2 linked regions of the Schizosaccharomyces pombe genome follow. The protein of the gene in region 2 interacts with the protein of the main gene of each other region in a biochemical or structural test. Each region holds a gene or a part of one and is shown on either strand. Other genes may lie near its edges.

Region 1 (6,394 bases), 2.2 Mb from region 2:
ACTCGCCCCCATCATCCTTTTGTACTCGAGCAGAAGGCTTGGAGGAATATGATTTTTGCTCTATATACTCAATGTCATAGTCGATTATATCATTTTCGTAAAAGTAGGAAGCGTCAGTATCGTTTCTGTTTGGGCATCCGGACATATCCTCTTGGAAGTTAGAAGGTAGATAAAGATTAATCACAGTGGTAGCTGAAGCGTTCGTAAAATGTTTACCAAATACTGCCTGTCGTGACCATAGAGTGACATTACGGTCCGGCAGCTGAATGGCAACATCTGTACTGGCCGCAAATCGCTTAGGAATAAATATGTTATCTAACACTCCAAGATCTAAGGCAATTACCTCTAGAAGAATGATATAACTAATGGATGCTAGAATACAAACTATTATTTGATAATACGACATATTAATAATTTACAGAAGGCGTGAAGAGTGGAGGAAGAACGGATACCGCAAGGTGAAGCCGCTTAGTTATATAGCACCTGTATAACGATAACTACAGAGTCACCAAAAAAGGTATGCGTAAGCTATTTTGAGATATTTTATTTTATTTTAAAACCCTTTTCACTAGTAGTTGCCAGGATTATTCAATTGATTAGTAACATTGTCAGCATTAAGGCAAGTTGCAGTGTTCAACAAAAGGAAATCCGATATTTGCGAGGGATAAAAAAAATTAATACAATTTATTCCCAATCAACTTATTTTAAAGACGAAACAGTCAGTAGAAAACAAGCTCTCTTGAAAGATACTTTGTATCTGATCAAAAGAGGTAAATACTTATATAATATTGAAAAGTATCATTGTACTGTATAAAGTTATATAATAAGAACTTAAGATATTTAGCTATATAATATTGTAAACATAAGTCGAGCATTCTCTTGCTCGTTAGATTTCTTATATTATTCAGTTTCAGCAGCTTAAAAACAACATCCTCTATCTTTAAAACAACTTTTAAAAAAGAAGAAAATTCTCTTTATATCTTTGCATAGTATCATACATGGATTATCAGGCATGACAATGAATCTGATAATCGATTATATTTCTACATTGAATCTAAAAAAAAAATTAAAAAAAATTCATTTTACCCTTTACTACGTAGGGTCATTTGTTTTTCCAGTCACAATGGGTCTTTAAATAAGCCAAAATCAAGACATTCTTCTTTTCTTTAATGGTTATGAAAGTCGAAGCACCATGTACCGTTATGTCTCATTACAATTAACTCTGCTTTAGTAGTGTCAAACAGTGTAAATAATTGAAATAAAACGGTTTCTGCATAACATTGAAAGTATAAACTGACAGCTTGCTTTTTCTCAATTCCATTAACATGATATAAAAAATTATATTGACGAAGGTGGGGTTCGAACCCACGCCCACATACGTAGACTAGCAATTGCTTTCACCTGAAGCTAGCGCCATAGACCACTCGGCCACTTCGCCATAACTACTGAATTTTAGAAATTTAGTGTATATATTACTAAACACTTTGAAAGAGCCATTAAACTGTAATCTTTAGAGATTATGTGTGCCTTTATTTAATATATCTGAATTCGTTACTATTCTTCGAATGATTCATTGAACCTTGAAATAATGTGATAAAATATCTTGATTGAACGAAAAAGCTGACACAAACAAAACAACGCAGGAGATTTATCAAAGAACTGCCTACTTGGCAGCATTATGCAACAAAAGTAGCTTACTCATTATACAATAAGGAAACCAAAATACTTATCACAAATGGATCATGGAAAGAAGTACTTAAGTACGATACCACATTCAACTTTAGTTTTCAAAGTGTTGTTTTAAGCCCATCGTATGGGAGATTAGTAATTGATAGAAGATTTACAAAGAAATGGATACATTTTCGCTTTAAATTTATTTAATGCTAATAATAATACTATAATAATTGTTTATTTCCTCCTCATGTAAATTTTTTACCTACTCTTTCGATGTTCAGCAGGTGTCGGTTAGCAAAAATAAAAAGCAAGTTAACTGTCACTATATGGAAATGATTGTGTTTTTATTAAAAGAAACAGAAACTTATACTAAACGTGTCAGGATGGAATTGCCCTCGAACCGATAAAGTGAACCAAGGACTTGATCCATCACCATAGTGACTATAACATAATAACAGATAATACTCATTTAAGAGAATAAAATAGTGTCCCAATAAAACCGCTAGATAATTTCAAATGGAGACCAAAATAGAAAAAATAGAATGCTTACACGCTTTGGGTAACCTGCTCAGCAGGGGGAGATTGATAAATAGCCATACCACTACGCTTGCTCTTTTTTAATTCTCGTCGAATTGCTGCCTGGTCGAGAGGCTTTATAAGTTCAAAGGAACAAAGCAGCTCTGAATTAACACTCATCACGGCCCCCCAATTATCAAATTCCCCACAGTAATTAGGGGCAGAAAACACCGTACATAAAGTTCTGTCATTAAAAAATTCATAACCGTCTTCAACAACCATGTGAGCACGACAGATTAAATCAAAGTCGTGCTTGGCCAAAAATTGCCGGATAACGTTTTTGTTGAAAACAAAAGAAACACCTCGTTCATTATCTTCCCAATCGTTTTCAGTATCAGCAGGATCTGACCATAACAAATCATTCAGCAATCCATAGTCAGGAACGTCAGTAGGACGAGGAATCTCCCGTATGTCATCCATATGACTTAACGATGGAGAAAGACCACCATGAACGCAAAAAATTTTACCGGCTACAACGGACGCAATGGGTAAGCAATTAAAGGTGTTTATGAAAGTCTTCCAAATTTTGATATTGCAACGTCTTTTACACTCATCGTAAAAACCGTAAACGCGAGTGATATTAGCGCATTCATGATTGCCCCGTAGCAAGAAAAAGTTTTCTGGATATCTGATCTTGTACAAAAAGAGCAAGAGGATGGTTTCAAGACTCTGCTTACCACGATCGACATAATCGCCTAAGAATAAATAATTAGAGCTCGGAGGAAACCCACACATTTCAAACAGTCGAATTAAATCGGAATATTGACCATGAACGTCACCAACGATTTTCACCGGCGGGGTCAATTCTAAAAGTGTCGGCTGCGAAAGAAATATTTCTCGTACGGCCATACAAATGCTGGTAATTTCAGCATTCTTTAGACACACACTTTTACTACTTTTTCGAGAATAGCCAACATGGATCAATCTTTGAATCATTTCATCTACGTTAAGGCTAACAACTGTTTCAGGATCATCAGGATCCGTAGAAGAAATTGCCGAATTAGGGATAATTACGGGCCCCTGCTGATCTTGTGGATACACAGGACCATTATGCTCAGAAGCTGAATCAAAGTTGGAGCCAATTGGGCCAGAGCTGGTTGGTGAGGTAGGTGATGTTGGAGAAACGGCATAAGAAGAAGAAGAAGAATGATGATGATGATGCTGGGAAGCGGCCGTAGAGGGACTAAGCATGGCAGGCTGGTTAGAAGGATGCGGCGACGTCGGAGATTGAGAAGAATTTCCCGAATCCTCCTGTTGATGCTTTTGCAACACAGCCGGAGATGTAGCTAATATCCCAGGAGAAGGAGGAGGAGGAAGGCTTGGTGGTGTTTCGGGATACCGGTGACGACTATGGGTTGTATCAGTAGACGTTCGGCGATCATGATTCGAGTCTTTGCCCTTCCCCAGGACTGTTTTCAGAGACTTTAAAGACTTAATGGATCCTTGAGTGTCTGACCGAGAAAAGGATGGGTAGGAATCGAGCTTGCTGTCGGCGTGTTTACTGCTCCCCTGTCCCATTGTATTTCAATTAATGGTAGATTCCGGGAAACTATTCCACTTTGTTCTATTTTTATTTTCTTTTTTACTTCAAAATCGAGACTTCGTTGCTTGCATTTAGTGCCAAAATTAAAAGGTTTCCCAATTGTACCTAGATTTTTTCTATTTTTCGATATTTTCCGTAAATTAGTAGATTTTCTCTTCTTCAAGTAATCCTGGTCTATAAAAATGTTTTGCTTTGCTGACAAAACACAATCGTTTAAAAATTTGTAAGGTCGTGGTGAAGAATGGGTTAACAAGTGATGGGAAGTGTAGTATAAATCTGATAGACGTAGTAGCCCGTTCCATCTTACTCGAGAACTGAACTCGCTGGGTCCATCTAGTGTGGTGCAACGATGATGGCGCACTTACTGTATAATAACTGCAGTGTATTCCAAAGTAAAATAAAAGGCGCAATTGATCCACGTAAATTAACGTTAAATTAAATATGGAAAAATTTCGCGTTACGTTATATACTAGTCTGATTCTTACTCAAATGTTTTTGTTTTGGGTCGATTGGGTTTCTGATTGTGCGATATTCTCTAAACTGTTGTAATATCCATCAAAAGGCAGTTACATCTGTTAATACTAGTGTATAACCTGAGATACCATTTTTGCTGTTCGTTGAACTATTTTTCCCAATTTTTGAGTTTTCCAAAATGCTTATGTTAGACGGTGGCTCTACTGCCATTCTTCCAAAGCTTCCTGAAAGTATATCTGAGTCTAGATTATGGACCTCTGAAGCACTGGTGCGTTATCCAGAGATCGTTGTTAAGCATCATGAAGAATTTTTAAAAGTTTGCGACATTATTAGTACTTTCACTTATCAACTGGATGCTTCTATCTACGACGAAAAGGTAGAAGGTGTACCATTAAAACAGGTTTACGCAAACAGCATTGGGTTACCTGTTTATGCTAGAGAACATTTGGGTTTGCCCAACAAATATATTGCTTTATGTCTCGGAAGTCATGCTGCTACTATTCCTGGATGTATGGAATACAAAATGATTTATGATAAACCCACCGATTTTGAAATGCTATACAATTTTCATAAAAACAGAATTGAAGCCATTCAAGCATCTAATCCTAAAGCTTTCGAAAAAATTGACTTCATTGCATTTGAAAGCCTTCCTCACGTGACTGAAGCAGAAGTAGTATGCCAACTCATTCAAGATATGAAAGGTTGGTCTAAGCGTTGCTGGATCACCTGTACGTGCCCTGAGCGCAGCACTATTGAACGAGTATCGTCCATTATCTCCAAGATACTGAGCATCAATCATGACTCTATATGGGGCATCGGTGTTAATTGCTTTCACCTCAGTTTACTCGAACCCATCGCAAAAATGCTATCCAGTCTTTTACCATCCAACATAACTGCTATTTTGTACCCTGACGGCCGCGGGTTGTATCAAAATCCAGACGGTACTTTTTCACCTGGCTCAACAGATCATCCTGCCCCTTCACCTGAAGAATGGTCAACTATAACGGCTAAATACTCAAATCTACATAATGGAAACCTGATACTCGGTGGATGCTGTGAAACAAATTATAATCACTTATCTTTACTCCGGGAGAAAACGAAGTAAATTATAACCATTTTAATTAATTTTCCTCATGATATTAATATATTTGTATTGAATTAATTTTTTTCTTGTTTAAAGTATTTACCTCAAAATATATATTTCTTCCCAATATCCCAAAATCCATTACAAATGTATCTAATCTACTGCAAAAGATATCAATCTAATAACAAAAATCCAAAACTCAATGTACATATAAGAATCTAATTAGGTGCCTTAATAGGATTAATGACTTTACCACGTTTGGTAACAACTCTGGGAGCAACAGCCTTATGATGTGAAGCTCGAGTAGTCCATTCTGGTCCCATAGGCAAGTTAAGAGATCGTTCATACTGTTCTCGTGATTCAAATGGGAACGGAACACTATCAGCAGTAAGCTTAGCAGCTTTCTTGTTGCGTTTTTCATTAATAATCACATGCTTTAGCTTAGAATCCTTCCGCTTTGACGGATCTAGTCCAGCAATTTTTTTAACCTTAGGCTTAGTCTTTCTTTGTTTTACGCCAACACCTCCCCATGAACCCCAACCGGGCAAACTATGATCTTCTTCTTTCGGTGCATCCTCTTGAACCCAGTCTTCTTTATCCTTTTCAAATTCAGCGACAACATCGTCGCCAGCAAATGCTTTAGCAACAAGCTCTCTCTGCTTAATTGACAAACGACCTTTGGTTGGCTTTAACATAGGTACCGAAACATCAACATCCGATTCCGCTTCCGACGCTGATTCAAAAGCCTTTTCTTCAAAAATTAAATCAGGCTGAACTTTAGGTTCTTCGACAAGTTCTTGAAGGGAGGCAACTTTGTCCATTTTTAACTTGTGATTCTTTTTGTCTGCCTTAGAGCTGTTTTTATCCAACTTTTTGGCAGAAGAGGTCCTTTGGTCAGGTACTTGCAACCATGGATTAGTTTCCTCAGTTGCTTCTAATGGTGATTCCTTTTTTTTTCGAGCTTCGGCCTTCTTTTGTCCTTCCTTCATTTCCGGTTTGTTGACTTTCAGCACCGCTGAATCAGAAACAAAGGGATTTTTCCT
Region 2 (6,527 bases):
GTGCACATGTCAAGTAACGTATACCAAAACACTCGTGGATTCAGGAAACTTAATCTACGACACTTTTACTAAATTTAAGCTGTAAGTTATTAGCTAAAAGAAGAGCCGTTTGATTAATTATTAGTTAGTACTAAAGGTTCATTAAAGGCTCTATAAATCATTGTAGATGGTGTTCAAATGAATATCACCGGAAACGATTTTTATGATTGTGCTTTAACTAATAGAGGTTTACAAAGACATTTCTCAGATTCATATTGAGGGAAGAAATAATATTGGTTTAGCTTTATCTTTTTGATCCAATAACATGGCATCTTCTTCCAATATAAAACATCGTCTTTGGTTAGACGGGTGCATGGATTTCTTCCATTATGGTAGGACTTTTCTATCAATTATCTCTAGTATATCTAATCACCTAACACTCTATAGGTCATAGTAATGCCATTCTTCAAGCTAAGCAGTTGGGCGAAACGCTTGTTATTGGTATACATTCGGATGAAGAAATTACCCTAAACAAGGGACCGCCTGTTATGACTCTTGAGGAGCGTTGTTTATCTGCTAACACTTGTAAATGGGTCGATGAAGTGGTACCCTCTGCACCATATGTGTTTGATTTGGAATGGATGAGAAGATATGGGTGTCAGTATGTTGTACATGGTGACGATATATCTACAGACGCCAATGGAGACGATTGTTATAGATTTGCTAAAGCAGCAGACCAATACTTAGAAGTTAAAAGGACGGAGGGAGTGAGCACTACCGAGCTCCTAGATCGATTACTTAGTTCGGTTCCTTTAGAGATTTATTCTACACCTGTATCGGTACTTTCTTCCCAAATTGATCTCCTCAGAAGATTTGCAACTGATTCCGACGGGCTAACTCCTTTTACTGATGTTTTTATATATAACACTGAGAAGCCAGAAACCCTTATTTCGGGCACAACCTTGCTAAGGTTGAATCCCGAAAAGAACATAATATACATTGATGGTGATTGGGATTTGTTTACAGAGAAGCATATTTCTGCTTTAGAACTCTGTACTCGAATGTTTCCGGGTATTCCAATTATGGCAGGTATTTTCGCGGATGAGAAATGTTTCGAAAAGCCTATGCTTAATCTGTTAGAGCGTATCTTGAATTTACTACAATGCAAATATATATCTTCAATCCTCGTTGGTCCTCCACCAGCATCTTTGTTTGCATCTTCTAAATACATAAAGTTATGTTTTGATGAGCAGATCTCGAAAGTATATTACCCAATATTTTCCACTGACGTGAGCATACCAGCGCTTGACATTAGCCTTTCCAATACCCCAAATAATAGTTTTTATAAATTTGATAAGCTGGGTTCTGATTTGATTAAGCAGCGGGTTATGTTACGTCGGCAGCATTATGAAGAACGGCAGCGTCGAAAAATGGGTAAAAATGCTACAGAACAAACGACCATTAAAACTTACGCATAATTTTGCTCCTGGTCTTAGTAATTAACAGCATAATATCCTTTTAAACATCTTGTCGTTTCTTTTAAATAAGCTTTAGCAACTTTTATAAATGAACATATACAATCGCTATTAAACTTTTGATATCCATTAACTAAAAAATCTATTACAGAGAAATTGTGTTTCAACTTCAAAAATCATCAACGAAGCAAACGTATATAAGAAAGGCTAATAATTAGACACTCATTTTCATTTTAATAGGGCCATAAGGATTATAACCTTCAACTGCGAAATCATCAACGCTGAAACTATCAATAGACCCTATGTCTTTAGCATCACGTTTGAAAAACAACTTAGGGAAAGCTTTAGGAACTCTTTCCAACTGAGTTTGTAATGCCTCTAAATGATCATTGTATATATGACAATCACCCATTACGTGAACAAATTCGGCAGCTTCATAGCCGCACATGTGAGCTATCATATGTGTTAAGAGAGAATAAGAAGCAATGTTAAAAGGAACTCCAAGCCCCATGTCGGCAGAGCGCTGATACATCATACTAGAAAGTTGGGGCTTTCCCCCAGGCTTGCAAGGCTCACTGACATAAAACTGGCAAAATATATGGCAAGGTGGTAAAGCCATTTCAGGAATAGCTAATGGGTTCCAAGCTGAAAGAATTATACGACGGTCATAAGGGTTTAATTTGAGGGTAGATATAACCTGAGCCAGCTGATCCACTCCTTTATTGGTATAGTCAGTATCGCAATCAACATATTGCGCTCCGAAATGTCTCCATTGAAAACCATATATAGGACCGAGGTCACCAACTTTACGATCAGTAAGCCCTCTGCTGTCTAGGAATTCTCTACTGCCATTGCCATCCCATATATGAATCCCTTTTTCACTTAAATGATTGGCATTAGTATCACCGTGAATAAACCAAAGTAACTCTTCAAGCACACCACGTAAAAAAACACGCTTTGTAGTGAGAAGAGGTAGAGTATTATTCCTTAAAGAAAAGCGTAGTTGTGGAGGAGCAAATACCGATCTCGTACCAGTTCCCGTGCGATCGGGCCGCGACTGGCCATTTTCAAGGATATATCGAATCAAATTTAGGTATTGCTCTTCTTCTGTATTTCTATATTCGGAGGAAGTAAATGGTACAGGAGGTTCGGGTTTGGTAGTAACATTTTCAGAGGCCTGAGTATCCACCGATTCCGAGCCTAATGGAGCTTGGGAGGTCTCGTGATCTTTGCTTATAGAAGATTCTGTAGTAGAGGGTAAAAGAGAGGCCTTGGGGGTAATATCTGCATTTGCAGAAGTTTCAATCATACTGTTGGATTGTTCATTATCATCAACATCGTCATCATCATCATCATCGTACTCTTCAAAAGCAGCAGTTTGTTCACTAGAGTCATCATCTTGTCCATCGATGTTTTTCACAGCGTTCGGCAAGACAGACTTTTGTTCTAGCTGCAATTTATCGGCAACTCTGCCTACAATGTTTCTCCATTCGGCCATACCGCCCATGCCAATATCACCACAGGCAAGCACTTTCTCGATTGGCATGATAAATTCACTATTCTTGTATATTCTGCTAATAGCGCTCAAATGTTCCTGAGTTATAGGATTAGTCCACATCAAGGTATTCATTGCGGGAGCCAAGAGAATTGGTTTTAAAGGGGCCCAGGCACGTATAAGAGAGGTAAGTAAATTGTCACAGAGACCATTTGCCATTTTGGCCATAGTATTTGCACTTAAAGGGGCAATTAACAAAAGATGTGCCCATCGACGTAGCTCAATATGTGTGATAGGACATTCGAGTCCGTCCCAATTTTTCCAATCATCCGCATTGTTATAAACATTGACACCCAAAGCCGTTAAGTCCTCTTTCTCAACAAAGTTACGAGCCGGATCCGTTAAAACGACTTGAACGTCGACGCCCTTGTATGTCAGTAGGGATTTAACGATTAATGTCAATTTTATCGCCGCAACCGAACCCGTTGCAGCGACCAAAATATGATATTTAGAATCCGTAAGTTGTCGCTCTTTCTCAAGGATCATGGGATTTTTTACAGCCCTGGTAGCAAACCTGGCATGCAAAGGTTGTGACATATTGGCCAACGAAACGAAAGTAATTGACGGGCCTTAATGTTGGTGAAGCTAGAGATTATAGATGCAGGGAGAAGGTTAGATATCGATTTATCTGGTACTGCAATTTAATGAAACTTTTATAAACTCATTGAAGCGCGTTATAATGGTCGTCCACAAAAACAAATTTAGCAATTGAACAAGCGAACCTTAGTTTTGCAAGGGAATTGTACACGTCGTACGCAGAAAAACAAAGAACGTACGTTGCTTTAGTACCAAAAAAAAGTAATTATTTATTATGCCTGCAGTGTGAAATCCAAGTGCCGTTATGCAAGGATGCACTACACTCTCACTATTAGCAATTAGTTACTTAATATATCCATAATTCGGCAAATGGCATAGTCTCCTAAACCTTAGAAGACCCGTAAGCATGGATAATTTAAAGAAAATTTTTTTGCAATACTTGAAAGCATATTTGATGCTTTAGTACTCTCGCTATTTTACGCTGTACTTGTTTGATTACTTTTATCTTAGTTAACATGCTGACAAATGTGATGGGTTATTTTCCGAAATCACAACACCTGTCTTCTACTCAAGCAGTAATACAAGTCTTGAAAAGCTCTGACTCAAACCGATGGAACTAGAAACACTCGAAAAAGATTGCTCCAATATTGAGAACAGACCTTAGCGTTAGCGAACTGCTAATTGATGACAACTCATCACTTTGTGTGCTACTCTATCGGAATCATGTCATTATTTATACAATACAAATGAAACACTACTTTGAATTGCTTTTAGGATCACCGTAAAAGAAGAAAATTGTATTTGCTAAAACACTTAGAATTGGATAGCAGCACCCTAAAATGATTGTTAGTAGATGAAATAAAGAAAATGATCGATAATAAGGATGAAACTCAACAAAAGACAATTCATAAAAGCGCTTTGCAAAATTTTTTTTCTGGATTTGAGAGGTATTCAACCACGGCAAAAACTCTTTTACAAATTCGTCTAAATCCAATCCACTCGTTATCAGCATTCTTCGACATACCTTAGTCTTCTTTTCACCACCAAGCTCGAAATGCTTGCAACGCTTCAAAACCAATTGATTCTTGTATTTGCAAGAGACGCATTCCAAACGAAGGACAACCTTCTTGGTAACCTTAGCCTTCTTGTGGAAAACGGGCTTAGTTTGACCACCAAAACCACTTTGCTTGCGGTCATAACGACGCTTACCCTGAGCAAGCTTGGAATCAGGTCCCTTCTTGTATTGGGTGACTCTGTGGACAGTGTGCTTGCGGCAGTTCTTACCAGGACAGTAAGTCTTACGGGTCTTGGGAATGTTCACCATTTTTTGATACTTTTATAAGTGATGGTTAGATGGTGGTGATTAGGAACTCGACAGCATAAAGTTTCTCTGCTAAACCCTTGTTGTACAAATGTGACTGTTTCTTATTCCTCTAGGTTAGGTTTACTTGCTGCTGTAATGTCGTTCAACGCACTGTTCGCAATAGTGTGAACAACCGATAGCTACCCTAAAAGTGTTTACTGCGTAAGATCAAGCTTGCAATATATCAAATGTGGGCCAGCAAACAAAATTTCTAAGCTACATTGTTTTAGTGCTGGAATTTCAATCCAACTTTGATTCTTCTGTGAGGGCTTTTTAATGTAAAACATGCGAAAATTATTGTAGTAAATTTCTATTTTTAATCACTAGTTGTTACCATCGCTGCACTCCAAATCTTATATTTATCGACTTCACTGATTTCTTTATGCAAGACTTGGCACAGCATCCGAACAGTATGAGATATTGCTCCACCAAAAGTTTAGGAAAATGATGTAGATATCACTATGTAAATAGCGAAATAGCGACTTAAAACAAGTCAAGTCAGGCTAAGCAGTATTTCCCAATTATCATACTTCATCGACACGTCAAAGTGACGCCCCAAATTAATCTGTACCTAAATCCATAATTGGACCTTGAGTATACTATATATTTAGTGGTAGCGCCCTTAAATCCTTTAATTACAAAACATTTATTTTACAAAATATTCACATTCATATTAATCTTGTTCTAACTCAAACTAAATATTAATACAAGAAATGCCATCCTACACTCACATGCCGTATGTACGCCCTAGTGCAATTCTCTTGGGGATTGCCTTCGACCATGCTGCTTCTTTCCTCGTTTATGGACCCCTAATGGGCGATATTTGGAAAAGGGCAATGAGCACTGCACCTCACGTCGAATATGACGCTGGAAGTAAAACCAAGAAGGTTGCTACAACTTATGTTAGCAATTTCCTTAGTACAGCAGTTCAGTCGTACTCGATCGCTGCATTGTTGCAACTTACAGGCACTGTGACACTCAAAGGTGCCTTTTTCGTGGGTCTTTATGTATTTGGTGCATCTGGATTGCCCGACGTAGTCGACTATATGTTCACAGAAAGCAGAGGTACCCCTTACATCCTTGTCAAAACTATATCTTCTCTAGTGAAATCAGTAGGCTTAAGTGTTGCCTTGATCGGTTACGGCGTACGTCGTATTTAAGATTCCGATGGTTCAATATCTGATTTTTAAAACGACAAGTTAATCAAATTTTCTTTAATATCTAAGATTTCTTTTCTGTGTTTATCTCATATTTGGTTAGACTGTAAGTGAAAATAGTATCCCAATAGTGGTATTGGACAACATCGAAGCTTCCTTTGCTTGTTATAACTGTACATATTAAGGTATGTTGTAACTCTATTCAGCAAATCCTTGATTCACAAGATTTGCATCAGTCCTAGTGTAATACAGGGTAATTTCTCTCGTAACAATTAAAGTTAAAAAAAGTAAAAAAAAAATACACAAACTGGCATACAATCATTGCCAAATCGAATAAAACTTATGCACATTAAGTTAGGCTTGTCTCTTCAACATCTTCGGCATCTTCGTAAGCGTCATAGTCATCAGTGGATATCGTATCGTGTCTTACATGATGAGTCACTTTACTCATCTGTACATTG

The links. Proteins that work in one complex are often made in the same cells at the same time.
Region 1: the proteins of hal3 (region 2) and pzh1 form a complex in vitro, tested with the Schizosaccharomyces pombe proteins (one study listed by BioGRID).

The regions. Positions count from the first base shown.
Region 1 is NC_003424.3:1,525,744-1,532,137, forward strand, and holds pzh1 (serine/threonine protein phosphatase Pzh1), read right to left. Parts: upstream 4,030-6,394; 5' UTR 3,769-4,029; coding exon 2,221-3,768; 3' UTR 1,822-2,220; downstream 1-1,821. Other genes in the region: rnf13 (RING finger protein), read right to left, coding at 1-406; SPOM_SPAC57A7.07C (homocysteine methyltransferase), read left to right, coding at 4,446-5,372; U3 snoRNP protein Utp14, read right to left, coding at 5,570-6,394.
Region 2 is NC_003424.3:3,720,852-3,727,378, reverse strand, and holds hal3 (thymidylate synthase), read right to left. Parts: upstream 3,624-6,527; 5' UTR 3,547-3,623; coding exon 1,669-3,546; 3' UTR 1,458-1,668; downstream 1-1,457. Other genes in the region: ect1 (ethanolamine-phosphate cytidylyltransferase), read left to right, coding at 305-371, 427-1,457; rpl42 (60S ribosomal protein eL42), read right to left, coding at 4,360-4,380, 4,571-4,870; SPOM_SPAC15E1.02C (uncharacterized protein), read left to right, coding at 5,623-6,069; bud6 (actin-interacting protein 3), read right to left, coding at 6,416-6,527.